4 linked regions of the Arabidopsis thaliana genome follow. The protein of the gene in region 1 interacts with the protein of each later gene in a pairwise test. Each region holds a gene or a part of one and is shown in the gene's direction. Other genes may lie near its edges. The genes, in order: MYB6, AT5G18550, AT1G35490 and AT1G01240.

The links.
Region 2: the proteins of MYB6 (region 1) and AT5G18550 interact in a two-hybrid assay, tested with the Arabidopsis thaliana proteins (one large-scale study listed by BioGRID).
Region 3: the proteins of MYB6 (region 1) and AT1G35490 interact in a two-hybrid assay, tested with the Arabidopsis thaliana proteins (one large-scale study listed by BioGRID).
Region 4: the proteins of MYB6 (region 1) and AT1G01240 interact in a two-hybrid assay, tested with the Arabidopsis thaliana proteins (one large-scale study listed by BioGRID).

What each region holds. Positions count from the first base shown.
Region 1 is NC_003075.7:5,988,903-5,995,997, forward strand, and holds MYB6 (myb domain protein 6), read left to right. Parts: upstream 1-4,005; 5' UTR 4,006-4,116; coding exon 4,117-4,379; intron 4,380-4,688; coding exon 4,689-5,136; 3' UTR 5,137-5,356; downstream 5,357-7,095.
Region 2 is NC_003076.8:6,156,807-6,165,427, forward strand, and holds AT5G18550 (Zinc finger C-x8-C-x5-C-x3-H type family protein), read left to right. Parts: upstream 1-3,290; 5' UTR 3,291-3,708; coding exon 3,709-3,799; exon of another isoform or gene 3,800-3,939; coding exon 3,940-4,094; intron 4,095-4,326; coding exon 4,327-4,392; intron 4,393-4,532; coding exon 4,533-4,658; intron 4,659-4,759; coding exon 4,760-5,065; intron 5,066-5,142; coding exon 5,143-5,436; intron 5,437-5,563; coding exon 5,564-5,923; 3' UTR 5,924-6,037; coding exon of another isoform or gene 6,038-6,045; 3' UTR 6,046-6,365; downstream 6,366-8,621. Other genes in the region: PUCHI (Integrase-type DNA-binding superfamily protein), read right to left, coding at 8,053-8,621.
Region 3 is NC_003070.9:13,057,731-13,065,398, forward strand, and holds AT1G35490 (bZIP family transcription factor), read left to right. Parts: upstream 1-3,818; 5' UTR 3,819-4,022; intron 4,023-4,115; 5' UTR 4,116-4,125; coding exon 4,126-4,655; intron 4,656-4,869; coding exon 4,870-4,945; intron 4,946-5,049; coding exon 5,050-5,176; intron 5,177-5,266; coding exon 5,267-5,436; 3' UTR 5,437-5,725; downstream 5,726-7,668.
Region 4 is NC_003070.9:97,202-104,752, forward strand, and holds AT1G01240 (uncharacterized protein), read left to right. Parts: upstream 1-2,664; 5' UTR 2,665-3,481; coding exon 3,482-4,477; 3' UTR 4,478-4,786; downstream 4,787-7,551. Other genes in the region: AT1G01225 (NC domain-containing protein-like protein), read left to right, coding at 1-41; AT1G01230 (ORMDL family protein), read left to right, coding at 419-604, 1,256-1,404, 1,707-1,845; AT1G01250 (Integrase-type DNA-binding superfamily protein), read right to left, coding at 7,530-7,551.

The sequences.
Region 1 (7,095 bases):
GGGAAAGAGCACTAGATTACAGTTTTTCTCTTCTGATTTTCGAGCTTTAAAACCTTTAGATCGAGTTCATTGTGATCTTTGGGGACCATCACCGGTTGTATCAAACCAAGGATTCAAATACTATGCAGTTTTTGTTGATGATTTCTCAAGATTCTCTTGGTTTTTTCCTTTGCGCATGAAGTCAAAGTTTATTTCAGTGTTTATTGCATATCAGAAATTGGTTGAGAATCAACTTGGTACAAAAATCAAAGAGTTTCAAAGCGATGGAGGGGGAGAATTTACAAGCAACAAATTAAAAGAACACTTTAGAGAGCATGGCATTCATCATCGTATATCTTGTCCATATACACCGCAACAAAACGGTGTTGCCGAAAGGAAGCACAGACATTTGGTAGAGCTTGGGCTTTCAATGTTATATCACAGTCATACACCTCTCAAGTTCTGGGTAGAAGCTTTCTTCACTGCCAACTATCTCAGTAATCTCTTGCCTTCTTCTGTCCTCAAGGAAATAAGTCCCTATGAAACTTTGTTTCAACAAAAAGTTGATTATACACCTCTCCGAGTGTTTGGTACAGCCTGCTACCCCTGCTTGAGACCGTTAGCAAAGAACAAGTTTGATCCACGCTCGTTGCAATGCGTGTTTCTTGGCTATCACAACCAATACAAGGGATACCGCTGTTTGTATCCTCCTACCGGTAAAGTCTACATCTCTAGACATGTCATTTTTGATGAAGCTCAATTCCCATTTAAAGAAAAGTACCACAGTCTGGTTCCAAAATACCAGACGACCTTACTACAGGCTTGGCAACATACTGATCTCACACCACCTTCAGTGCCTTCTTCTCAATTACAACCTCTTGCAAGACAAATGACTCCTATGGCAACAAGTGAGAATCAGCCAATGATGAATTATGAGACAGAGGAAGCCGTCAATGTTAATATGGAAACTAGCTCTGATGAGGAAACTGAATCAAATGATGAATTTGACCACGAAGTAGCTCCCGTACTAAATGATCAAAATGAAGACAATGCACTAGGACAAGGCTCATTAGAAAATCTCCATCCCATGATTACAAGATCAAAAGATGGAATTCAGAAGCCAAACCCCCGGTATGCTCTCATTGTCTCTAAATCCTCTTTTGATGAACCAAAAACTATTACTACTGCTATGAAGCATCCTAGCTGGAACGCTGCAGTTATGGATGAGATAGATCGCATTCACATGCTAAACACTTGGTCTCTAGTTCCTGCAACAGAGGACATGAATATTCTGACATCCAAATGGGTTTTCAAGACTAAACTCAAACCTGATGGCACCATAGATAAGTTGAAAGCTCGTCTAGTTGCCAAAGGGTTTGATCAAGAAGAAGGAGTCGACTATCTTGAGACATTCAGTCCGGTTGTTCGAACTGCAACTATACGTCTTGTTCTCGATACCGCTACTGCAAATGAGTGGCCTCTCAAACAGCTTGATGTGTCCAACGCGTTTCTCCATGGAGAATTACAAGAACCGGTGTTTATGTTCCAACCCTCTGGTTTTGTTGATCCTAACAAGCCTAATCACGTTTGTCGGCTCACCAAAGCTCTTTATGGTCTAAAACAAGCGCCTAGAGCCTGGTTTGACACCTTTAGCAACTTTCTTCTTGACTTTGGCTTTGAGTGCAGCACATCTGATCCTTCCCTCTTCGTTTGTCATCAAAATGGGCAAAGTCTCATACTCCTCTTATATGTCGACGATATACTCCTCACAGGAAGTGATCAACTGCTCATGGATAAACTTCTTCAAGCTCTCAACAACCGCTTTTCGATGAAAGATCTTGGGCCTCCTCGCTATTTTTTGGGTATAGAAATTGAATCTTACAACAATGGTCTATTTTTACATCAACACGCATACGCTTCCGACATTCTTCATCAAGCAGGCATGACAGAATGCAACCCTATGCCTACCCCTCTGCCACAACACTTGGAAGACCTCAATTCAGAACCCTTTGAAGAGCCAACATACTTTCGGAGTTTAGCTGGCAAGTTACAATACTTAACAATCACAAGACCGGATATTCAATATGCCGTGAACTTCATCTGCCAAAGAATGCACGCTCCGACCAACTCTGATTTTGGCCTTCTCAAACGCATACTCAGGTATGTGAAAGGAACTATCAACATGGGGCTTCCAATCAGAAAACACCACAACCCTGTTCTTTCGGGATTTTGCGATAGTGATTACGCTGGCTGCAAGGACACTAGACGCTCCACTACTGGTTTCTGCATCCTCTTGGGATCTACTCTGATATCTTGGTCTGCAAAGAGACAACCCACTATCTCTCACTCCTCAACAGAAGCCGAATATAGAGCTCTTTCCGATACAGCTCGAGAAATCACTTGGATTTCCTCTCTTCTCCGAGATCTTGGAATCTCTCAACATCAACCTACACGAGTGTTCTGTGATAACCTATCTGCTGTCTACCTCTCTGCAAATCCTGCTCTTCATAAACGATCTAAACACTTCGATAAAGACTTTCACTACATCAGGGAACGTGTGGCTCTCGGTCTCATAGAAACGCAACACATCCCAGCAACTATTCAACTTGCTGATGTCTTCACCAAGTCACTACCGCGACGGCCCTTTATCACGCTTAGAGCCAAACTCGGCGTGTCTGCGTCACCGGTCTCACCCACGCCAAGTTTGAAGGAGGGTGTAGAAGACAACCCAATAAATAGAACGGGCTTTGACAAAAACAAAGACATGGTAGCCCAAACTCAACAAAGCCCACTACAGAAGCCCAGTCAACATATGCAAAAGAAGATAAAGACCAAAAGCTCTTTACCTGCAAAACAGAAGACTGTCACTAATACGGAGAAGAAGACAATAACACTTGAAAACAAATTCAAGCCGTTGCAGTCGCTGCCGTTGCAGTAATTCACAATAAATAGCTATTGATTAAAGATAGCATTGTCAAGGATTCTAGATTGTTCTAAAGAAGTCTATAAAAGAAAGATGTAAAACTCCATTGAAAGATAAGCAAAATAAAAACATTTTTTGTCAAGAAATAATCACAGTTTTATTTTTCTCTTCAGGAACAACTAAAAAACTGTATTTAACTAAAACAATTCAGAACTCCTTCATACGACGTCGTTCTTTTGTTAATTTTAAATTTAATTAATGGGAAAAATGTCATTAAAATCTTCAACTCATTGCAAACATTGATTTAAATCCTCAACTCTCGACGAAACAAAATAAATATTTGACTTTCTAAATAAATATCTAATTTTTGTTGACCTGGCGATATTAGACACACTGTTAAGTAAATTACTAGATCCCGTTAACGGAGTTAATTTTTTTGTTAACAGAGGCCCATTAATGCAAAACGTTATTGTTTCCAACAACAGAGTGACGTCGTTTTGTAATAATGACTGAACTAAATTCCCAAATTCAATCTAAGATCTCTAAATCAAGCAAAATTCCTATCTCTAAATCCCCATATGATTTGAAACTGGAGATTTAATTGAGCCGTTATGACAAAAACGATGACGTTTTATTGTTAGAGTAAACGTTGTCGTTTTCAATCAACGAGTATGTTAACACACTAAACGTTCAAGGTCTATTAACCTACTGAACATCATGCCTAATATAGTCATGTCAACAAAAGTTTGATATTTATTTGAAAAGTCAAGAAGGTTTGGTATTTATTTGGAAAGTAACATAAGTTTGATATTTGTTTCGTTCGCCGAGAGTTCAAGATTTAAATCAAAGTTTTCAATAAGTTGAGAATTTTAATGACATTTTTTTCCAAAAGATAACATGTTTGATAAATATTATTTTTGCATTGTATTTTTCTTAACTACCAACTAAATTATAAGAACAGTGAGAGAAAGAAAAAAACAAAAACCAAAATCTAAGGAGAAAAAGTAAAGAGACAAGAAAAAAAGAGAAAAGAAGGTTACTTACTTACCTACCTAATCTCCATTACCCCACACACAACACAGCAAAGCACAGCCTCACTTTATCTCCACATAGTCACATGTACATATACCAAACTTAGTCAAAGTCTCCTCCTTTTTATATAACCCACAAATTGATCTCTTCTCTCTTCTCTTACACCATCTTCTTCATTCACCATGGGAAGATCTCCTTGTTGTGAAAAAGCTCACACAAACAAAGGAGCTTGGACTAAAGAAGAAGATCAACGTCTCGTAGATTATATCCGTAATCACGGTGAAGGTTGTTGGCGTTCTCTTCCTAAATCCGCTGGATTGTTGCGTTGTGGTAAAAGTTGTAGATTGAGATGGATTAATTACCTTCGTCCTGATCTTAAACGTGGTAATTTTACTGATGATGAAGATCAAATCATCATCAAACTCCATAGCTTACTCGGTAACAAGTACGATAACTTTTTCCTCTCTTTCTCTTCTTCTAAAAAAACAGAGTGAAAATAGAAAAACAGAGTCACTTTTTTTTTTCTCCCTACTCTTGTTTCTAGGAAAAAGATTTCAACTTTCTAGGAAACAGAGAGAAAATAGAAACTGGGTCACTTTGTTTTCCTGCTCTTTCTTCTTCTTTGATCTTTCCCAGGAAAAAAGTTTCAACTTTCTAGGAAACAGAGTCGTTCACTTTTTTGTTTCCTCTGTTTTTGTTAAAGCTTTCCTCTGTTATTGTTATTCATATGAATTTGAAATGTTTTGTTTTGCAGATGGTCATTGATAGCTGGAAGATTACCAGGAAGAACAGATAACGAAATAAAGAATTATTGGAACACTCATATTAAGAGGAAGCTTCTTAGTCACGGTATTGATCCACAAACTCATCGTCAGATTAACGAATCCAAAACGGTGTCGTCTCAAGTTGTTGTTCCTATTCAAAACGATGCCGTTGAGTATTCTTTTTCCAATTTAGCCGTTAAACCGAAGACGGAAAATTCCTCCGATAACGGAGCTTCGACTAGCGGCACGACGACGGACGAGGATCTCCGGCAGAATGGGGAGTGTTATTATAGTGATAATTCAGGACATATAAAGCTGAATTTGGATTTAACTCTTGGGTTTGGATCCTGGTCGGGTCGGATAGTCGGAGTCGGGTCATCGGCTGATTCTAAACCGTGGTGCGACCCGGTGATGGAGGCGCGTTTGTCACTGTTGTAATAATTTGTCAAAAAAATCCCAAAAAATGGGTTTTGTTACTTCATTTTTTTTTTTGCTTGAGTCCTTTTGGATAAATATAGAAATTCTTTACTTCAGTTTCTTTGGTATTTTTGTTTTAGTTTTTGTTCATATTACCTTTTGAAGAAAAAGAAAAAAAACGATACATGGTTTCCAAAATAATTTTATGGAAATATATAAGAATATTACACCATTGTCTAGGAATGCAAATGAGTAATTTGAATTTTATTTTGACAATATTGTTATAAAATGTAGAAGTATAAATGTAGGAGTGAAATGTGAACATGGTTGGTCCCTTTTGGACTCTTTCTTATGGATCAACCGTTATCCATTTTTACATGTTGGTATAGATCATAGTTTTTATATGTTTTTTGAAGCAAAAGCTTCTAGAAACTTGAATTAGGTTATAATGGGGACCATATAGTTGCAACTAGCAAGTTTCAACAAATATCTCGTTCACTATGTTAACTATTTTTTTTCATTAGGTTTTCGGTGTTAGTTTATATATAGTGCTAGGACACATGGTCCTCATCTCAACAAACAAACTTCTAGTTTGTAGAACTTTTTATTGTTTAGGAAAAAACTAGAATTGAGAACTTCTATTAATACTTATAGTTGTAGCGTAATTTGGTGCCAACGAAATTAATTAAAAGAACTACTATAGACGTAAACATTGAAAAGGAATGTGAAGAAGCAGCTGATTGGAAGAGATACAAATTGATTACTAAATAAAGAAATATAGAATAAGAGAATAAGATAAGGGAGGAGACATGTGACATGTTTTAGGCAGGTAGGTGGCAGAATCTATCATTAAAACCATATTGTGTACCAAAAAATAATTGACTTTACCTAATCTTTAATAAGATAAATATTTTATATATCAATACTATAACCTTATAGATTATCCGAAACAAATTTGACATAGCCAAGTCTCGATAAAAACATTTATCAATATGATCTTAAGGCAAAGCAAAATGTTTTGTCTTTAGACAAATCTTTGGTCGACGTCAGAACAAGAAAAAAAAAGAAAACAAGAATTGGTTTCGTAGAGATATTATCATATTCATACGCATAAATATATCTAAACAATTAAAGAAACAATAATATAAATGTAAAACAAAAGAGAGAATCATGTGCGTAAGAGGAGGAAGAAGGAATGGGAATGTGAGATTTAGGTGAGATCCAGCCAAACATGACTTCCTCTTTTCCTGGAAATTAAAAAAGAAGTTATCACTCTCATTTTTAATATTAATAAAATTAAGAAAATTCTCTAACGAGTTTAAGTTATTATTTTATATGAATTGATATACCTTTTTACATCTTCTACATAAACATAGACTATAGTCTTCATAATTTTGTAAACTATCAATAGCTAAGTCTAATTAATTTTAGGATCATTTGCAAAACTAACCATATTTGATAAACTATTGAAGTATATAGGACTATATATTTACATGAATTTGCAAGAGATTCATTAAAATCTTCATTCCAGGACTCTAAAATTATAGATCATTTACTAAACATAATTCTTATTCCACGGAACAAAATTGAACCAAAGACTTACAATTTCAATAGTCTATAGTCTAAGAACTAACCTAATCTGTTACTCAACAATTGCAGGCATCGATCGATTAGGTACGGTTAGATTGAAAGATACATCATTACTCCACTTTTGTAGATTATTGGGTCGAGTCTGTCTAAATCTAGGGTTGGAGAAATAAAGGTTTTTTTTAAGCTTTTGACGAGCCCTACTTCTTGAGAAATCAGCAAATAGTGTATGACAAACTACACACATGAAATAAAATACAGTATAGAACAGTAAATTCTTTTAAAAAGATATCCTAAAGTCGTCACTTTAACTAATCGATCATGAAATCCTCCTTAAAAACTTTATAAATCCCTTTAAAACACTTGTAAACTTTTTTAAAATCCTTTAAACCC
Region 2 (8,621 bases), on another chromosome or scaffold:
AAGTCAAACCTTCTGATTCTATTTTTATTCATTCCATATATGTAAAAATGCATCATAATAATATTTATAATTTGCAAGCCTCGCATCAAACCATGTTTATAAATGCACCATGAATTTGAACTAATATAATGATTTGAAACTTTTGTCATTCATTATTCGATTTTTATTTTTGCACTATTTTTTTTAATCTAGAGTTGAATTTTCTTTACCTACTGAGGCCAAGTATGTGAAGACATATTATTCGTTTGTCCAGCATTTTTGCAGACAGAGAATCTCCGCCGTCTGATATTCAGACCAATGCGTTTTATAGCCGTTAGATTGATCAATTACAGTGTCGCCTTTTTAAGTGATCTAAAAGTCAATACTCTCACTATGCCCCAACACAATCCTCCATGCGGCTTAAATTCACGCGCTTCAATCATTAACCATAAAATGTAAAATCCAAACTATATGTTTTTGACCTACAAAATTCATTGTTCGTGAACTATATACTTCTCCACATACCAAAAATGTAAAATCCAACTATACAAGTATAACGGGTGGTGTGAAAAAACTCCCATAAACTTAAATCGGTTTGACAAAACTAACTTAATGCACTACTAATGATGACCTTTGTAATCAATCATCCAAAGCATTAAATTTACAATCCATAGTATACAATATGATTTCTAGTGTGAAGTGACTCTTAAACGTTTGGTGTTGAGTGCGATTCACACTCTTTGCGTGAGCGTGCAAGAAAAATACTTTCCGTATTTACATCTACTCTTTCTCAACACGTGGAACTTCTTTATTTGTTGCAAAACAAAATCAAAAATTTCTTATTTGCCTTCAAGTCTTTCTTGTGTTCTTTTGTATTTTGATTGTTTGCTATCTAAACAAGTATATTTAAGCTTAAGTCCAAATCAAGACAAACAATAAAATATTTCATAGATGATGGTTAGTAAAACAGAATTAATTTTCTTATTTTTCATTTTTGAAACTCTACTGTTTGTCTTAGACTGCCAAAACCAAACAATGTGGTTAAGACCATCATACTATTGCTCTTTATTTTTATTGTTTTATCTAAACATATACCTTGTAATAGTTTTTGCATGCATGTAGAAATGTTTTTTCCTTTGTTCGTATAGAAATTGTATTGTCTGTCTTGTTTGAAACGTACACATGTTTAAAATAAACAAAATTGTCAAGAACTAAAATTATATTCTCTTTAATTTACGTATAGGCAGGCTCAACAAACACATGCTAGTCAAAAAGCTTAGGCGTAGAAAATAATAACATATCAATCCTAAAAATATACTCAGATGAGTCGAGGTCAACATTAGCACAAATATCTAACTATCATGTTCCGACCAGTGTAAGTAGTAGCGACTAAGCAGTTTTTCTTTTCTTCAGATTAGATTAAAATATAATTAGCAGATGGAATGGTTGGTTGAGTAAACTAAAAATGTTAACGTCAATTAATAACACATGAATTAATTTTGACAAAGAAATTGGCATATTCCTATATTTGCAACTTGAGCCGACACAATTTGTTTTCTTTGACTTATTAAACTTATTTTTTATTTTTTCACTTTGACTATTTTTTCTTAACTATTAGTATAAGTAATAACGATCTAAACAATCATGTTTTGTGAGTAAAAACTCTTCAGAATACCATTATTTTTTTTCTTAAAATACAGATCTTAACATTCGATCGTTAGTGTTTTGTTGACCAAAAAAACTGCTTAGTTTCATCACTAAATGTTATTATAATTTTACATTCGTAAGAAATTGAAACATAATATATTTCCCACGCCATGGAATCATTGATTGATTCCTTTTTTCTTCTTAGAAAACACAGAGATTTAGATTTTCTTACTGTTTTGCTGCAAATGACAATCATGTCCTTCACCAGCATATTCGAGTTTTCTCCACGGACGTGTCATGATACAAAGGCTTAACTATAATTTACGCAACACTTACATAAAAGGAAAATCAAAAATGAGTATTAGTGAGTTTGAGCAGTGAAAATTTTAATGCTCCCATAAGGGTTTTAGAGTTTTATATATTTGGTGTTACAGTAAAAAGGTAGTAATACTTTACTTTCGTTTTCTTCTCTAAATCTTGAACTTAAAATGATTAAAAAGTGAGAGAATAAAGAAAATATTTTTTTCCTTTTCTCTTTTAGGCGACAAAAATTTATATCCGGTATCTCTTTTTGTTTTCTGATCGCATGTTTTTGTTGCTAATAAATCGATGTAAATTATTTGCATCAACAAGATACGAATCGTTTATTTAAGTGATGTAAAATTTCTTTACATCAATTATAAGTAATACAAATATTCAATATAAGTGATTTAAAATGATCTTTTTTTTGTAGTGTGTGAAGATGTGTGGTGATTGGTAGGTTTTTCAGAGTAACATAAATAAGTCATAACTGTGGTAAGAAATTACAATAAACTCCCAAGAACGAAAAGAATAGTTGAGGTTCAAATAAAGCCCTAGTAGTACAATATAAATGAACAGTACAAAAAGTTAAGCTATCTAATATGGTGCATCAACTAAATCTAGGAACAACCATAAGAATATTGTAGATCATTATTTCCAATTGGTAACATCATGATATCGTATAGAAAAATAGAATTGAACGGTGCAATCAAACATCTGAATTAATCAAAAACTTGGAACAACACATAGATACCTTAATCATGTAAAGTGACGAAGCAATGAATAAGATCGTCATTTCGAAGACATATGTAATTCAAGAATCAACCGTTAAACGAAAAAAAATATTATAGCCATTACAACTTTACATATTACTTGTACCACCAAAATACGTTGTTATTTCTAATAACTCTTCTAGAACAATTTATTTGTTAAATACGTTTAAGCTAAGTTAGGTTTAAAACGATTAATATACCAAAATAAAGTTTTCATCTATTTTATTTACTTGTTAATCATGTAAAGTGACGAAGAATCGATGAATATGATCGTCAGTTTGAAGACATATGTAATTTAAGAATCAACCGTTAAACGAAAAAACGGAATCTAGCCGTTACAACTTTACAGATTACTTGTATCACCAGAATACGTAATTATTTTCGGTGATTCTTCTAAAATAATTTGTTTGTTAAACATGTTTAAACTAAATGAATTCTAGAAAGATTAATATACCCAAAAAATTAATACCATTATTTAAATTAATCATCAAATGAAGTGATTATTGTAAATATGATTAAGAAAAATATTGAAACAGAGAAAATCAATATTGATGGCAAAAGGAAGAAATAAAAAAAGGCATTAAATTAAGAGAGAAGTCATTTATTCTATGTTTGGCGCGTATATTAACCACCACCGGCAAAACACCCACAAAAAAAGCGAGCACGCATAAAGAAAGATCAAAACTTCCCCATCCCTCTTCCAAAATCCATCCCCTCAAAAAAAATAAAAATACTTCCTTTCGAAATTTCGCTAAAAAAAAAAATCGAAGCCGAAAACAAATAGTAGAAGAAAGAAAAAAGTTTCAGCTTTAAGGAAAGAGATCAAGCGACTGAGAGTGGTGTGGAGACAGAACCAACCACGATCTGTGGTTTTTTTTTTTTTGTCCTTTTTTTTCTCCAATCTCAGAAATAAAAAAAGTTTCTTCCCGACACTCCCATTTGATCGGAGGGCTTCGACATTGGTGGGCTCTGTTTCGCCGCTCCGGCTAAAAGTTAGTGTAAAGCAAAAATGGAACGGTACGGTGGCGCCGGAGAAGATGAGTCACGGTCGGATCCATCACATGAATGGTCCGCTCAAGGAACCGAAACTGGTATCGAAGGTAACGTTGATTATGGGTTTCCTACATTTTCTTTCTCTCTTTTTGTTAATGTCTGATTTTTACGGGGTTAAATCTGCGATTAGCGTTTTTGTCAGAATTGAAAGTTTAGATTTTTTGAAAAATAAATGCGGCGTTTGTAGCTTCGATGTGGCGGTTAGGGTTGCGAGGTGGTGGAGGTGGAGGTGAAACGTTCCCGGAGCGACCCGATGAACCCGATTGTATCTATTATTTACGAACCGGTGTTTGCGGGTACGGGTCTCGATGTCGGTTCAATCACCCACGAAACCGTGCTCCGGTAATAAAAACTCTCTCTCTCTCTCTCCTCTGTTTTTCTGGGTTTGTTTTTTTGATAAAGTGACTGCCTTTTTTTGTCTGCTTCCTATATGTCTTTGATGTTGTTAATGGGCTGATTTAGATTAACAGATCCATTGTTGAATCTACGATCTGATATCACTGAAACAGAATCTAGGATTTCTAATTTGTTTGGAAGCTCTCTCATTGGATGTTGTTAGTTTCGATTTTTTCAGGTCTTGGGAGGTCTCAGAACAGAAGCTGGAGAGTTCCCTGAGAGAATGGGACAACCTGTTTGTCAGGTATTTTGATTCATCTATTTAAACAAAATTGGTTCCCAAGTTAAGCAATGCACAAGACAATTCATCTTCTTTGTTCTGTATTTAAGACTCTGTGATTTAGTGTTGTAGTCTATTCTCACTTTGATATTTTCTTGTCACAGCATTTCATGCGAACAGGAACATGTAAATTTGGTGCTTCTTGTAAGTATCACCATCCTAGACAAGGAGGAGGAGGAGATTCTGTTACTCCTGTCTCCCTAAATTACATGGGATTCCCATTACGCCCGGTTTGTTCAATCCCGCCATGCTCTCGGTTTCATAGGTCTTTTGTTTTGCTGTATTGTGGTGAATGATCTCTCAAAGTTTCCTTACAAATGGATTGTTACAGGGGGAGAAAGAATGCTCCTATTTCATGAGAACCGGTCAGTGTAAATTCGGTTCCACCTGTCGATATCACCATCCAGTCCCTCCTGGTGTACAAGCTCCATCTCAGCAGCAGCAACAACAGTTATCCGCTGGTCCAACTATGTATCCATCGCTTCAGTCTCAAACCGTTCCTTCATCGCAGCAATACGGAGTAGTTCTAGCAAGACCTCAGCTCTTACCAGGCTCATATGTTCAAAGCCCTTATGGTTACGGTCAAATGGTTCTTCCTCCTGGTATGGTTCCATACTCGGGCTGGAACCCTTACCAGGTATTGCTCCAAAGAAACCTTTATTTGTTCTAACTTTTCTTTCTCTTGTCTTAGTAAACCTCATTCCAATCATGTAGGCTTCTGTAAGTGCGATGCCTTCCCCTGGGACTCAACCGTCAATGGGAACCAGCTCTGTTTATGGAATCACTCCGTTATCTCCCTCAGCGCCTGCTTATCAATCCGGTCCATCTTCTACCGGTGTTTCAAATAAGGAACAAACTTTTCCTCAGCGACCTGAACAACCTGAGTGTCAATACTTTATGAGAACCGGAGATTGTAAATTCGGAACCTCTTGCAGATTCCATCATCCTATGGAAGCAGCATCGCCAGAGGCAAGTACCCTCAGCCACATTGGCCTCCCACTTCGTCCCGTAAGTCATATATACGCCATTAATCATGAAATTCTCATGATCAAGAGTAGAGTTTTAGTAATGACTTATGAGAAGTTAAAATGGAAAACTCTGTTTCTTGATGTGATTCTGAAACTCTGTTTTGCAGGGCGCAGTGCCATGCACTCACTTTGCGCAACACGGTATTTGCAAGTTTGGGCCTGCCTGCAAATTTGACCACTCCTTGGGCTCTTCTTCACTAAGCTACAGCCCATCCCCTTCTTCACTCACGGACATGCCCGTCGCACCTTACCCCTCCTCGCTCGGCACATTAGCTCCATCATCCTCATCTGACCAATGCACTGAGCTTATCTCTTCCAGCTCTATTGAACCTATAACAACAACAACTGGTGGCTCAGAAACTGTGGCTGCTGGAGTCTCTTCTATGACCAGTGATGTGAGCCATCCCGAGCCTGCTGAGACCAATAAAGGTGATTCAGCTAGCAATGAGGCTAAGACTTCAAGTTAAAGAGACAAATCTTAAAGGAGAGAAGAGAATCTCTCTCTATTCTTCTTAGATTATTATCTCTCTTATTCTCTCTATATCTCTCTTCTTCTTTTCATCAAACTTTCATGAACTCAGGAACATAAAAAGGATATTTTTTGGGTGGAGAGACAACAACAGAAAGCAAAGCAGAGAGATAGACGAAAGGAGTTCTCTCTACTCTTCTATGTCATGTCTCTCCTCTTAGGTCTCTCTTACCATGTTCATATTATTCCTTCATACGGCCATCTCTCTGTCTTTTGTTCTTCTTTTTCTTTTTGGAAACGATGATTAATAAATGGCCTTATATATTCACAAAAATCCCCTGTTTATTTTTAAAACTTTATGGAATATGGGAATTAACTAATTAATAGTCCAATTTTTATAGACTTATGCTTGCGGATGTTTTCATGTATACATGTCAAAGTATTTTCTTTTTTTTAATAGAAAAGTACAACATGTTATACAGTAAACGCAACCTCAATATTCGTTTGAAGCAATCCGATTCTAAAGATTTGTTTGGAAGAGTAACAAGAAGTGGAAGAGCCTGACGAAACAGAAAGCAGAACAGAACAGATCTTAGGGTCACGTTTCTTTTTTTGTTCTACATTCCATTCCGTACGACGTTGATCATGAGATACAAACGTAAATATAAATGAAAAAGAAGTTAAAAAAAAAAAAAAACTACTGTTAATGTGGAAGTAGTAGTCAGTAATTCTCGTACTTGGTTCTTTGTGTTGGTGATATAACATGTGCATGTGTGTGGTTTGTTCGTTGCGTCTAGTTTTACTCAAACAACAGAAAAACCATAATCATGAGTTTGTTCACTGAAAACATCACAACTAAAGTTCTCAACAACCCAATAAAAACTACTCCTAATCATTAAATGCTTTTTCTCTGAGTTACTACTTAGATCTACCATAATTAAGACTGTTTAAAGATTAAAGATATACATGTCTTTATATACGAGTTACAGTAGACTTCACATAGTTGTGGAGATATTAATCGATTGTTTAATTCTTTTTAAAATTAAAATATCGATTGTTTTAAAATATTTTTCACATACTCTACAGTCTTTATCGAGTTAATTTATTTTTTTCTTATAGTAAAATGAACATTTTGCCTAAATCGTTATATATATTGACGCATGCAAAACAGATAATTAACAATACAAATTTCAGTAACTATTTGGAAGTTATTTAATTTGAAGCTAGACAAATTGTGAAGCATATATATATATGATGAATTCCCAACGTATATATGTTTGACTAGTATAACAGGATTGGATCTTTGTTGAGTTAACAAAAAAAGTGTATAGTTGATCAACATTGGAGAAGGCACTAATTGAGTTCTATGAAAGAAAGTCAAAAACCTTAAACAGATTTAAAAATGAAATAAAGAGTTGTGATGTTGAGTTGTTGTAGACAAAAGTTAAGGCAAAATATAGGCAAAAGGAGGGAGACATGAAACAGTGATTGTGCAATGAAATACCAAACAAGTCATGACCAAAACACATGTTTAACGACCAAAAACACCATCATGCTACTTCACTAAAAGTCCATCTCACATTCACTAATTTTAAATTTTAAATTTTATAACTTAGACTCTCAATTATGTTATAATTCAAACTAACGTCAAAATTTATAACTGTCATAAAATAATCATAATATCTGAGCACATACTGATCAAAAATAGAAAAATGGGGTATTTGCATCTGATCTTATAATCCTAATATTACATGTGATATATTAGTTGTTCACTCCGATCCTAGTCATTTATCCGTTTGGAGCAAGTCATTTGATTTCATTATTATTATAATATAGCACACTTATAAAATATACATAATGAGTGTGTCGAAGTAGCATGGACAAAAAGTGGTCTTTAATACAACTCGGATTATCCCTTTTTGCTAATCAAAACCATAATACAAATTAAAGAAAAAACAAATCAAAACTTCAAGGTAAGGTAACCTTATGATGCATGAAACAATAAGCAGGATTTATATAATAAAGTCGATAACATATAGTTAACAACAACAATCAAACGACCATCGAATAACGTAAATACTAATAATATTATTGCATATATAAAAAACATATATAATATAGAATGTTCTAAAAGACTGAGTAGAAGCCTGTAGTGTCTGCAACGACATCTCCAAAAGCAGCGATAGAAGAAGAAGATAAATCTTGCGGCTCCATCATCCCGTAATCTTCCATTGACATTGAAGCGGCAGCAGCACCATAGTTCGTGATCATGGCAGAGAGATCACACGAACCAAACTCATGATGATTCATCATCATCATCTCACCATCTTCGAAGTAGCTATTACTAAACCCTCCATATGGTTCAGAGGCTTTGCTTGCTACCGGAGTTGTGAAACTAGCTCCGGCTTGATTTTGGGTGGTGGTGGCCTCCGGAGGTGGTTTAAGGCAGTGGTTTGGGACAATGCAATCCAAGTAACCCGAGTTGTTATTGGACTTATTATGTTCTTCGCTTGTTAAAGAGAAGAAGAAGTTGTTTTCTTCGTCTAGTGAAGAAGATAACGAGCCGTTAGAAGATGAGTTTTGAGGACTATTACCAAACGCTTGAATATCCACGCTTTGATGACGAACTGGCGTTTTGAAAGAAGCCGCGGGTAAGACAGTTTGGGGGAGAGTGTGTTTAGGTTGTTGTGGTTGAT
Region 3 (7,668 bases), on another chromosome or scaffold:
ATCTCTTGTAAATCTTTTAAAATCTTTTAAAACCCTTTTAAAATCCCTTGTAAATCTATTTCTTGCCAAAAAAAAACTTTTAAAATCTTTTTAATCCCTTTTAAAATGTTTGTGAAAAAAAGTTTTGGGAGGAAATTTTTTGGCGGGAAAAATGTTTTTGAAAATATTTTGGCGGGAATTTTTTTTTTCGAAAATTTTTGGCGATAAATTTTTTGGCGGGAAAATTTTGGCGGGAAATTTTATTTTGGAATATTTTAGACGAAAAATATTAATATTTCATTTTGTTAACATAAATCAATTTACAAATAGGGGTAAAATGGTCATTAATAATTTGAAGAGGGTATAAATGAAAATGATAAATAGAAAAGGGTAGAATTAAAAAGAGGTAGTGTGAAAAGAGCATTAGAAAGAATTTTTCTATATTTTAATTGATATTGTTTTAGAAGATAGTGTAAAATATTTAAAATAATAAGCTTAAAAATAAATAATAATTTTATTTCACTATATAGTTTCTTTAATATAACAACAATGCATTTTTGAATTTATCATATATGGATGCTGAATATTTATTTTTTCACATAAAACTTAAATCTCTGCCAAAAATATACATAAATTATTGTTTAAATATAAATAATATTAAAATGTGCATAGATAACTAAATGAGGATGTGGTGCCACGAATTAAGAGTGAAAGTTTCACTGTTTCAATGTTAATGAGGATGTATTAACTTTGATACGATTCACTGTCACTGTGAAACATGTTGATACCCAGAGAAATTCATCAACTCATAAAAATTAATAATAGCAAATTTGGAAAATTAAGAGAAGACATGATATATTATGTTTACTTATGGTATTAGTACGATTTTTTGTATTAATGATTGAGAACTATTTATGGATATCAATTATGGTTAAACAAACGTAATTGATGTTTGTTGGCATCGTTGCCTTATCCCATTTCGTTTGCTTCAATATTTTGAAAAATTAAATAATGAATTTGAATATATGAAAGATATGATTTTTGTCATTTTAAATAAAAATAATAAAATGTTAGCTGAAATATTTTCCAATAGCATATTTTGTAATATCCCACATCCTACTATATTATTTGGAAAGTACATTTTAAATGTAACCTTAATTTTTGTAAGTAATTACATAGGTATGCCATTAGAAATAAAATTTTAAAGAATAAATTAATTTATCTCTTTAAGGATTAAAAAGTCAAATACTAATTTAATTAATTAAATTTAACATAAAAACGGAATACATTATTAATTTCCAAAAATAATAACCAATCAAAATCAACATATAAGATTTGATATCTAAATTTTAATTAATTTAATTTAATTAGAAAAATGAAATGCATTATTAATTTCCAAAAAAGTAACCAATTAAAATCAACAAATTAGATTTGATATCTAAATTATCATATTAATTTTTTATTAATTATTATAGTTCACTTCTCATCTTTATATGATTCTATTTTTGCCGAAAAATAATATCATCATTATAAAAAAATAATTTGAGTTTTTTCGCATATGTCATAATTTGAATTTTTAAAAACGAATATAAACTGTTCAATACATGAAAAAAATTATAACGGATGAAAAATAGATTTAAGAAAACTTTCTACTGAGTAACTGGTCATAATTTGAATTATTTCTATTCAATTTCATACATATTATATTGAAAATTTATAATCTTATATACTACAATAATTAATAACATATTAGATGTGATTCAATTTTTAATACAAGCTGGAAAATCCTAGAATTAACGGGTTTAGATCGATATTAATACAAGATGGTATACTACATGTCAAACTCTTAAATTAACAATCAAACTACAAGTGTATAATCTTAAACACTAAACAATATAGATAATATCAACAAAACATATACAACTCACAGTTTACTATACATTTAAAATCAAATAAAATAATATCATATATTTTTAAATCATCTTTACAATAAAAGTTTTTAGTTTAACTAAAATATAAGGCTACTTGCGGTATACTGCAGGTTAATATCTAGATTATAGGGCTTATTGGATCTAGAGATGGGTCATCAAAGATTTCCTAAACTGAAGCAAAATATACTGAATATTCAAATATCTATCTATTACCAAATTATAAACAAATAAGTTCGTAAACAATTTAATATTTTATTTACGAAATCAATTAAATCTTAATCACATAAAAATTAGCACAAAAAAAAATATTCAACAATTAAAAAATAACAAATCTCTGTGTTATATAAGTTTTGATACTATATTCGAATAAAGTGTAATATACCTTTTCAATTTGTATTCTTTAACTAATTTAAGCTAACAAATATATTTGCTAATCTTATACCTATCAAAACCGACAATCGTTTCTTATCTCTATAGTATTTTTGCAAGACTTTTTTGGTGGATTTGGATAAAAGTGCGTTCGGCTCATATGGTACATTCCCCTATTAAATAAATATGGTGCACTCCTATGTTATTAACTAAAATGTTTAGATTATAATTCAGAGTCATATCATTAATAAAAATAATATTAATAAATAAATGGCTTTTTGGCAAGACAGATTTAGAGAGACGGGTTTTTGAATCAACATTAATAAAAAAAATAAAATATAATTAATCCACCGTTTCAATACGGGTTAAATCTTTAATTTATTATTTTCTAAGACCACTAATATTAAACATATCAAATCATCCTAATTTAGAAAAGATTATATAAAACAAAAAATGTTATGTGGTATGTATAATGTTACTATATATAAAATTAAACTATAAAATATAAATGTATTAGAAAATGATACAATTTGCAAAACTTTTATATAAAAAATAATTCTTAAATTTTAAAAATTACTACTTAAAAAAAAATCACAGGACGGGTAAAGAAATTACAGAACGGGTTTTATTTTAGAATTGAGTTATATGGCGGATGTATTTGAATTAATATTTATAAAATTTTAAAATATTATTAATATGCTGTTTTAATAGGGGTTAAAACTTCAGTTTTTTAACAATTGTCTCATGGATTCGTGGTATAGCGTTAGTTAATAACAATTATAAATTGTAAAATATAAATATTTTATAAAATAAAATTTGCAAGTTTTAATATATATTACTTTTAAAAAATAAATCGTCCCGCGGTATACCGCGGATTAAAATCTAGTAACATCTAGTTATTTTGCTAACAACATTTCTCAAATAATAGTATAGAGATGGTATAGAATCTACAAAGTGCAAACTATCACTTATAATTATTTATCAAATTAAAGCTGATAACATTTCGTACTAAATTTCAGCTTTAGAGTTTAAAGTGCAAATTATTAAACATTTGAACATATCAATTTCTTAATATTTAACAAAGTTTCTCCTTATTTTTTTATAGTTCTCTTAAATATATATATATATATATATATATATATATATATTGTATATCTAGTACTTTATAAGTTCATAATAACATTAGAATTTTATAATTATGTAAATAGAAAAGATTATTAACTAAAAAAAGAAAGAAATTGTCCCACGTCATTACATTGTCAATCTCATATGATAGTGAGAGTAATATTTTGATTTTGCATCTATTAGAAGCGTGTAGATAAATCACATAAAAATATTACGGAGCTTACTATACAAATTCGATGAATAAAAAATGAAAGAATTCCTCGAAGCTTTTGTAGTATTGTGTACCAATAAACCCAGTCTGAATAAACCAATGGTGGAGTCTATTATGGGAAAGTGAAAAAGCAAAAATAACTGAGAAAATAATAGACCAAATAAAGCATAAGGACAAGAATTGTTGTTTTCACGAAAACCACGCAATGTAAATCATCAACATGGATTGTTTCAATATGGTATCTTCCTCTATTTAGTGATCTAGAGATTGTTTCTTGTTTTTTTTTTTTTTTGCATTCTAAGGAGAAGAGGTGATCGAAACCAACCACACGGGAGGAGCTTATGCCATTTTCCTCCCCGTGGAAGGTCTAACAATCACACGTCTCCTAATCTCGTACGTCTTCTTAGGTATGTTCTTTGCATGTTAAAGAAACTGTATCTTCAATTCTTGTCATTACATGATAATGGTTTTCTTATACATGTTTTGCTCATACCTTATAGGTTTTGAAGAATGGAAAATTTAAGGAGGTTGTCAAACCCGGGAAATTTCGGATTCATTGGAAGATCACAATCACGAGTTCCCCAAAAAAACATGGAAAATAACATTTCTCCTCCTAATAATATGCACCACCATAGTGCTTCTTTAGATGATCTTTTCACAGAAGACCAACCAGCTTGGCTCGATGAGCTCCTAAGTGAGCCAGCATCACCTAAGATTAACAAAGGTCATAGACGTTCAGCTAGTGACACAGCTGCTTACTTGAACTCAGCTTTAATGCCTTCGAAGGAAAATCATGTTGCTGGTTCGTCTTGGCAGTTCCAGAACTATGATTTGTGGCAGTCCAACTCTTATGAACAACACAATAAATTAGGATGGGATTTCTCTACAGCAAATGGAACTAATATCCAAAGAAATATGTCATGCGGAGCTTTAAATATGTCGTCGAAACCCATTGAGAAACATGTAAGCAAAATGAAAGAAGGAACTTCTACAAAACCAGATGGTCCTAGATCAAAGACTGACTCAAAACGTATCAAACAGTAAGTAGTCTTATCTTTGTCATGTGTACTTATAATAGGTTATTAAAATGTCCCACATCGATTGAGATTAAGATCTTTAGGCATTATCTGGCAATCCTTAACTCTTGAGCTAACTGTTGGGATAAGTTAGACCACATTCCTAATATAGGTTGATAAACATATTTCTGATGCGGTTTAATAATATACAATTTTATCGAAAATTATTAAAATGCAGTCAAAATGCTCATCGAGCGCGTTTGAGAAGGCTTGAGTACATATCAGACCTTGAAAGGACCATCCAAGTGCTACAAGTAAGATTCTAAAGGCTCGTGTATTTCTCGAAGTTCTTTAATTTCATTAATAATATGAAAAGATTCCTAATGTTATATTATACATGTTGGATTTTCTTCAATAGGTTGAAGGATGTGAAATGTCATCTGCCATTCACTACTTGGATCAGCAGTTACTCATGCTTAGCATGGAAAATAGAGCTTTAAAACAACGTATGGATAGTTTAGCAGAAATCCAAAAGCTTAAACATGGTATTTAACCTTTCATATCACTACTAAAATGGATCAAAATGCATTTATTTTGTTCTCTTGTAAAATTTTGATTTTGGTTGGTTAATACAGTGGAGCAGCAATTGCTTGAGAGAGAGATAGGAAACCTACAGTTTCGACGACACCAACAACAACCACAGCAAAACCAAAAACAAGTCCAAGCAATACAAAATCGATACAACAAATATCAACCACCTGTTACACAAGAACCCGATGCCCAATTTGCAGCCTTGGCAATATGATTTAGGAAATATGGATACATTGTTCAGATTAAGCTGAGCTCCTCTTGCTCTACCTTAATGTCCATACAACATAGGTGAACTTGATGTTTGTAGCCTTGAATGAAAACCTAAAAAAGCATCGTTATGTAAATCAAAATGTGGTTGCCCATATCCTCCTCTATTGCATTTCTCTCTATTTATGGCATGGTAGAGAATCTCTTGTCAAGAAACTTCATGTTATGTAATAACTTGTAATCCTTCTTATTTCATCTATTATATATATGAATAAGTAATTTTTTTGACAATTTCCTTTATCTATATATATACAAGTTGTGACCGATTCTAGTAATAAAAGGAAAAAAAAAATATATATATATATATATATATATATATAAATATTCTGTATACTATTTTATACACCAGTCAAGATAATATGAAAATTAAGATTAATATTTAAAAAATGAATTTACGAAAACATAGTAATTTGTTGGGTTTATGCAACAGTAAAAAAAAAAATCCTTTAAGCCGCCATTGTATTTTAATTTTACCCTCCATCTCAAAAAATGCATATTAATCATAGTAAGTAAAAAAACTGATATGAAATATAATTCTCATCCATATCTTTTAAAAGATTTTATGGCTACATACATTATATATATATATATATATATTTATTTTTAAATGGTCTTTCAGCATCGTCGGGAGAACTTCAAGTTGAGATACTATATATACAAACTTTACAAATTTGACAACGATTAAGAAAGATTGTATTGCGTATTATTTAGACTTTCAATAACTGATTTGCAGTATCATTTGTTATTTTGTTTAGTTTCTAACCCTAAGTTACAAAAATTAACCAATTTGTTCATATATTTTTTCTATTAGATTAGGAAAAATTCTCAAATCTAAATAATCTCCGAATATATAACTCTAACTAGAATTTAACCCGTGGTATACCACGGGGCAAATGTTTTATTCATATTTAATAATATTAAATTTTACGGTTTTAATTTAGTATTAAAGTTATATAATTTTATATTAATGTTGTAACTAAAAAATTTAGTGATGATAAAATAATAAAATAAATATTTAATCTGTGTTATATGAATCCAAACCCGTCCCGCTATATTTCATATCAATTCAAACTCATTCCGCTATATTTCTCATCTCATGATATTTTAAATTTTTTATAAGTTTAAATATTAATAATATTTTATAAAGTTAAAATATATTTCTCGTCTCATGATGTTTTATTTTTTTTTAAGTTTAAATATTAATAATGTTTAAAAATTTAAGATATATCAATAATAATATTTAAAAAATAAGAATTGTCTTTGTCTTTAATGTGATGATATTCTTTCTAAATTGTTACTTTACTAACACAAAAGTACTTTAAAAAGGTACTTCAAATTTTTTAATATATATAATGTTATTGTTTTGGTAAAAATTATTATAAATAAATATTTAGTTTAATCATAATTTGGGATTGATATACTTGTGCTTTTGACTAACTTTTTTTATTTTAATAGCCTAAATTTGAGCATTTTGTTAATATTATTTGAATGAGCAATATTAGATTAATAGATGTACAATTTATTTTTGTCAGAAAAAGAACAAAATTTAATAAAAATCAAAAAATAAAGTTTTAGGGAGTGATAATTATTTTGTACAATTGCAAACTTAAAACGAAAAATGTGGATTGGGAAAATAATTAGGGTTTCAAATATTTAAAATTTTACGTAATTAATTTTTTAATAAATATATTAAAGCATATATTGTAATATAAAATTTGATTCATTTTATAAACTGAAAATAAATGATTTAAAATGAAAAATCAGGATGATTAATTCATTTTATTGAAATCGATTTTTTTACAGCAAATTAAAACCGAAAATTAATAAATACTTATGAGAGATTTTAGGAATGATTTCGTTTGGTGGAGTTAATATATGAGAGATTTTAGGTAATATTTTTGTTAGGTAAATATTTGATTTAACTGTTAGCATAAATTCAGTGGCATTGAGTCGTAAATAAGTTTCAAGTCCAGGATTTATTTGTTAAGATGACTGCAAAAATGTATATGTAGATTTTCATAATCTCAAAAAATGAATGAATTTGGTTAATGTATGTTTCATATATGTTGTAATTATAAAGTGAGTATAAGGTTCTTTTTTTATGTTGTCAAAGGTAATTTCATTCATTCAAACAATAAGAAATACAAAGATTAAGAAGACATCAACTTCATGGTTGGAT
Region 4 (7,551 bases), on another chromosome or scaffold:
AAGACGAAGAAGAAGATTCTGATACCGACTATGTTAGGTGACAAACAGATACCTATCACCTTTGTTCACGAATTTCGATATACATAAGAAAACATTTCAGTTAGAATCCTCATGTTGGTTTTATGTTCCCTTTATTGCATTTGTTGGCCTATTTTCTGTCTGTACAAAATGAAAACGCAGACGTTTTGGTTTGGGTAATGTCAAAAATATCCCAATAATTAATTAATGCCCAGTGTAGATGCAAAAAAGCAGTCGTCGTCTTTCACGGGCACACAAAATTAAACCAAAGAAACAAACAATCCTTGTTCTCGCCGAAATAGAGAATTTTGTGAATCTGGGTTTTTAGTTCAGGTGTTAATATAAGATTTTGATCAAAAGAAGACGAGATTCGATCCGATCCGATCTGATTGAAGAAGAAATGGCGAATCTGTATGTGAAAGCGGTTCCACCACCGGATATGAATAGGAATACGGAATGGTTCATGTATCCAGGAGTTTGGACGACTTACATGCTTATTCTCTTCTTCGGTTGGCTCGTTGTTCTCTCTGTCTCTGGTTGTTCCCCTGGAATGGCTTGGACTGTTGTTAATCTCGCTCACTTCGTTGTAAGTCTTCGATTGTGTTTATGCTTTAGAGATGATTTTTTCACTTAGGGTTGTGACTTTAAATTAGATGATGGATTGATTCCTTGTTTTTTTTTTATTTCCTGAGATCTGGATGTGAATCTGGCTCTAGTGTTTGAATTGATCTCTTTGGTTATTAGCAATTTTTTAGTTGGTTTAGGGTTCGAATGAAGAGGCAATTACCTTCTGATTGATCAGTTTTAGCTATCGTATATCGTTGAGCTTGGATCAGGCTTCGAATTAGGATACAGTTACCTTCTTATCAATGAATTGATCAGTTTTGGTATCAGCGATTTTGAATTGATCTGTTTGGATACTATCAGCAGTGTTGACTGTTGAGTTGATCAGGCTTTTAAGTAAGATGCAATTCTCTTCTAAGTTTGAATTGATCGGTTTTGGATCAGGCTTCGAATTAAGATGCACCTTCTCGTTAATGAATTATCAGTTTTTGATATCAGAAACTAAAACTACCTATGGCATCAATGCAATTTCTTAAGGTCTAACTGTTTGATATAATGCGGTGACTTGTAAATTGGCATTGCTTGATTGTCAAAACCAAATTTAATCTAATTTCTAATTACTCTTTAGGAAAATGTGATGTCTGAGTAGAAATTTGTGGATATTTGTTGTCAGGTAACGTATCACAGCTTCCACTGGATGAAAGGAACTCCTTTTGCAGATGACCAAGGAATCTACAATGGTTTAACTTGGTGGGAACAAATGGACAATGGTCAACAGCTTACCCGCAACCGCAAATTTCTTACCCTAGTTCCTGTTGTTCTGTAAGTCCCAGCACCTTGTTCCTCAAAATCTCACCACTCTTGTCTATTTCCAATCTATATTTTCTTAGCAAATTATTTTCTTTAGCTGCATATATCCTTGTGTCTCATATGGTTAATAAATATGCTAATTTCTCAATACACATATCTAAATCCGGTGATGTGTAACGGACTAGTTCTAGAGAACTCTGTATACGCGATAATGTGTATAAACAAGAGCTGCATTTATCTGGATGAACTTTTAAGATTGAGCTCTTTAGCTTTTGTACTTGTTTTCTGACTTTATAACGACACATTTAAAACAGGTACTTGATTGCATCGCATACAACAGATTACAGACATCCATGGCTGTTCCTCAACACACTCGCTGTGATGGTTCTCGTTGTTGCCAAGTTCCCCAACATGCACAAGGTACGCATCTTTGGTATCAATGGTGATAAATAAGTTTCCTTTACGGCAAGAGAACACCTGAAAGAAGGAAAAGGGGATATAAGCGAACATATATATGTGTAAATGTTCATATGAGTTGGTTTAATTCTCGAGTCATGTTTTTTGTTGGATATTTGTAAGTAAACTCTCTAATTTTGAAGCTTTCATCTTTTACCTTTTATAATAGACACGAAAAAGCTTTCCCTTCATCTCCCCACTTCACTTCAGATAATGGGCCTAATAGCAATATGGGCTTGAACAATAATTGAATTTAACAATGGCCCAAAGATTCCTGTCGTGGTGACTCATGAGTTATCATAACACCAGAATGTTTTCGATTGAGCGTAATGATTCAGTGGGATCTAAAGAACACGTGGCTGCCTACAAGATCTCTAACAGCTGGTTAATGACACGTGTCATAGTTAAAGTCCACCTGGATGGATATTATATCATGGTGTACGTATACAAAATAGTTAATCCCTCTTCAAAATTGAATAAAGCTAACAAAAGTAATCAATTAACGTGATTAAAAAAAAAAAGAGAATGCTAATTGGACCCCGAAAACATGATATATCCTGCAAAATTAAAGCCGACAAAACGAAAGAATGACTAATTAAAGTTGGAATAAGACTAATGATTTTTTTTTTTTTTTTTCTTATTGTGGTCCAATGTAAGAAAATAAATAAAAACATCTTATCCATTAAATCGAAAGTAGGGTCCATATCGTAATAGCCGTCGATTCTCTCTTTAGCCAACACGTGTTGTCAATCCAGCTGTTTCAGATGCTTACCAAGCCAAACAAGTTATTGAAACTGTGTCGTTTTGTGTCCCTAACTCGGAAGCTTTTACGGAAGAAACTGTAAATTTGGTTCCATGGGGCCAGAGAGTGTGAGAAACGAAAATTAAAAAAAAAGAGAAGAAAAGCCAAAAGCTTCGGTCGCGCAAGATCGCTTCATTTGTTTCTAGAGTGATTCATGGATTCTTTAAACTACTAATAATGGTATCTTTAGTTGTTACTTCGTTTTCTGATCTATTTTACAAATCTTACTCTTTTGCTCTGTTTTCGTGGTTTTGTTTAGATAAAAGTCTCTGTTCTTCTAGTTTCTTCCATCAGACTGTTTTCTCATGGATCAGTGATGATTTTTGTTTCCTGGGTCAACTTCTGATTTTGGAATTTCTGAAAATTTTGGTAAATTTACTCGATCCCATTGCGAAATCTTACGCATGATCTTTGTAGTTTGCTCTGCTCAAGACTTTCTTTTTTTTTGGTTCTGCAGTATGTCTTAATTGCTCTGAAACTTATGTCTTGTTGTGTTTAATTTGGTGGTGAAATATATTGTCTTCTTTATTCCTGGATCTGTTAAGATTGTTTAAGATTTCATATACGTTGAATTGGTTTTGATTGAATATATTTTGGTTCCCAGACGTTGCGTGTATTATTTAATGTAAATTCCTTAAATCATTGGCTTATCTATGAATCAATCATTTGCTTAGAAGCAATCTCATGAGTAGCAAGAAAAACGAATTAATCCTTCCCATGTCTTTTATGTTTATATTACAGGATCTGGGTGAAAAAAGAACAGTCTTTTGATTTGGTGTGTTTCTCTTTTCTCTTAATTTTTTAGGATTTTTGTTGTGTCTTAATGAAATAATGGGAGCAGCTGAAGCAAGAGCATTGTGGCAAAGAACAGCTAGTCGTTGCTTTGTTGTTCATGAGGATGCTAAGATGGCTCCGAGGTTAGCTTGTTGCCAACACCAACAATCTTCTTCGGGCAACACCGAAAAAAACAGCTTTTCTTCCGGAAGTTTTGGAGATTCCTCTGATTTCTCTTGTGATACCAAATGGTGGCTTAAGGGATCAACTGGTTTTGATGAGGAGGTTACAAACTCCTTTCTTGAAGATACCAAATGCAAGAAATTGCATGAATTTGTCGACTTAATCGGAATACGAGAAGAAGAAGACTACAGCTTTATTAGCAAGAAAGCTGACGCTACAACACCGTGGTGGAGAAGCACGACGGATAAAGATGAATTAGCTCTCATGGTGGCGACTAAATCGGTTGATCATAATATCCAGAATTGTGATCTTCCTCCACCTCAAAAACTCCACAAGAGTATTCACTCCTCGAGTGGAGAAAAAGGGTTTAAAACAGCGGTTAAATCGCCATGGAAGCAAGGAGTTTGGAAGGATCGGTTTGAGAGATCTTTGAGTTACAATGGTAGCACAGAGAGCAAGAACACGAGTCCAATGTCTTCCCCTAGAAGTGATGATCTAAGCAAAGGTCAGCTTTTAGAAGCACTAAGGCATTCTCAAACCAGGGCAAGAGAAGCAGAGAGAGCAGCGAGAGAAGCTTGCGCTGAGAAAGACCGTGTGATAACAATCTTGTTGAAACAAGCGAGTCAGATGTTGGCTTATAAGCAATGGTTAAAGCTTCTTGAAATGGAAGCTCTTTATCTGCAGATGAAGAAGGAAGAAGAACAAGAGGAACAGGTCAAAGGAATGAATCTGAAGAAGAGAAAACAGAGAGGGGAGAAGAAGAAAAAGGGTGAGACTGGGAGATATATGATGGCTTTTGCATTAGGGTTTAGTCTCATTGGTGCTGGTTTGCTCTTAGGTTGGACTGTTGGATGGTTGCTTCCCTTCTAGAATCTTGAAATGTCTTCTCTTTGGTCACTCATCTTTTCAAGAGTTTTAGGTTTTATAACTTTTCACTTTACCTCTAAAATTGTGTGTATATTTTGTTAATGTATGTATTGTGTGATGTTTGTGTAAATTTAATCTTCTGTAGAAGTTTATTTGGTTAGGGTCTCTCTCTCTCTCTCTCTCTCTGCTACACAAAATTGAGAAGCATCAAACTTGGAAATTCATCAGAAGCTTGAGAATGTTGGAATCAAATAAATCTTATATTTGAGCTGAAAGTTTGCTACAAGTGGACCTCATTTGACCCAATTTTCTAATTAAGGCCCATATGTTTTTCAGACCCAAACTTTTTTATTTTATAATTTCTTTTTAGGGGTTCCAAAAAAATAATAGTATTTGCGTTTTGAACTTCTAAATTCTAAGCATGGTGGAATAAGATTTAATGATTATGGTCTTAGTTGCTTTAAAATTTATCACGGATGTTTAAAATTAAAAGTGTGATCACTTGAATAGTTTGTGTTTATGCATGCTTCTGTGAAATATATACAAAACTTTTTGACTAAATCCCAAAATTCAAATCTGTATAACGAATTCCTTTGATAAATGTGACTTTAAAAGATAATTCCAAAACATTGAAAACATATGTGTTTTAACTTCTTCTTTTTTTCTTTCAAATATCATACAATAGGCAAGTCTGGATGATGAGACGTCAATTACTAGCACCGACGACTAAAATACATGTTTTCATCATCAAATGTCTTTAAAATTCATATCTCTTTTGTTTGTTTGTTCATATCTAAGATAGCAATTAATATACCTCTATCTGTTGGGGTCAAATGTGATATTATATCTCCGTATTTATTATGAATAATGGTTGTAAGAAGCTTTATTGAATTTCCAGCAGAAAGATGTTTTGTTCATCATTGAGTACTACTACTATGGTTCAAAATGAAGCAAAAAATTTCCCGATTTATAATAAACCATAATTCGTTTTTCTTGGATGCTATGATCGATTCCAAACCACTAAATAGCACTAAATTGTTGTTGCAACAAATCCTTGTCTGAAATAATAAATTCGAGTATCGTTTTAGCCGTTATTTTTAAAACACGTGTTGTATTAAATATCTTATTATGTGGTGCCAAATTGTATAATGACGATACAAAGGACAAATGTTAATAATTTCAAATTTCCCACCCAGACAACTCTTGGTTCTATGCTTGTACCATCTCCGCGTCCTCGTCTTGTCGTGTGTCCTACACGAACATACTATTAGACTATTAGTGTTACAGTACTACAGCTTAATTAAAATATGCACATGTCAAAATATTTAAGGACTAACTGGTCAAATAGCCCCAAAACAATTCAAGATTGATTAACTAACATGTTCTCTAAAAGAATTGCTTCAGTAACCTATAATGTGGTATTGAATTCTCGAAAATGCATTTAAAACATCTTTATATGAGCTTACATATAATTGACTTAAATTGTTTGACGGAAATACCGAATTGTATGATGCTGTGAGAAAAACATGAAATACAAATATTCATGTATAGAGTCGAGTTTAGGATTTGATCAAGTGTCGAGCTTAATTAGGACTCGAACTGATAATACAAGAGGTACATATACGGATGCTTCTTTTTTGGACGAAACATATATATGGTTCAGTTCTTAAACACGTATATTCATACCAATCATATATATATTCTGGAAAATGAATTGAGTTCACAATTTCCATGTGTTTCCACGTGGTCAATTTAGGTCGAACTTCAAATGTTTTAGGAAACAACCGTTAAGAAAATCGCTCTACGGATGTATTCCTGTCAGTTAAAATTATCAAATTATGTGGCTTGTTTGCGACTTTGCGTTGTGTGTTTTTTGGCATTCAAGAAAAAGAATGCTGGATTATACTAAATAGGAACCAAAGTAGCATGTAGTGTCGTGATAAACGACGTGACAAATTTTCTCGCCCGCCCGTTTCCTCTTGGTACGAAAAGACTCCGAAGCCTTGGTGATTCGAACTGTCGAAGAGTTAGGTTAAGTCCAAAATGTCAAATGAAGCATGCAGCTTGAAGAGGGCACAATCGTCCTTTCCCCTGATATTTATCCCATATTTAATACATGACGCTAATGGTTAGCTTGAGTACTGAGTAACTTTAAGCGACATTTATAAGTATCAATGAAGCTCGAGTACTGATATTATTAACATCTTGGAATTAAATAGCTCACTATCAGGGGAAAACTGAAAAGCGAACAAAAATTATTGGAAGAAGAAATTATTGCCAACCGTACAGTTACAAGTATAAATGTCGATATATCGACACACCAAAAAAAAACTATTGCATTCACATTTAAAAAAAAAAAAAAAAAAAAAAGATGTATACTAGTATAATAGTATATCTGTCACAAACACATATCAGGAGAACATCTATCACGAACCCCATGACTCATTTAAGGAGTCTTTCTTTTTTTTGTTTTCTATGAAAAAACAAAACAAATTAATATGATAAATATCGATAGTAGTTTTAAAGTAATATTTCATATTGAATATGGATATGGGTCCGAGAAGTTACTATTGCATGAACAACGATAGAAATTGGACCAAACTAGGAATTATGCTAGGTATCGAATTATACTTTCCCTACATAAATAATAATCAGAAGTTAAAAGCTCCAAATGATTAAAAACCATTACTGTAGAGTCTGTACTTATAATCAGTACTCAGTAGCTACATAATGTTTTCAATAAATAAAGAAATTCCTTAAAGAGTTTTTGACACTTAGTTAGTAAAGTTGCACAAATAAAAAGGTTTAGAATAAGTAGCAATACTTATGCAAACAAAAACTGTATATAAGAACATACACTTATACGTATTTTTGTAGATGCGTACAAACCTGATAACTAACTTGAGAAACAGGTATCTAATTATTAATCGCGTAAAACAATAAACTAGAAACAAATAAATGAAAATATACATGCATATGCATTAAATTAAGTGAGCCAACACAATAACGATACAACGTACACGTATAACGAATACGACACAATCGACAGCAACACTCACAGACACGCCATGAACTGA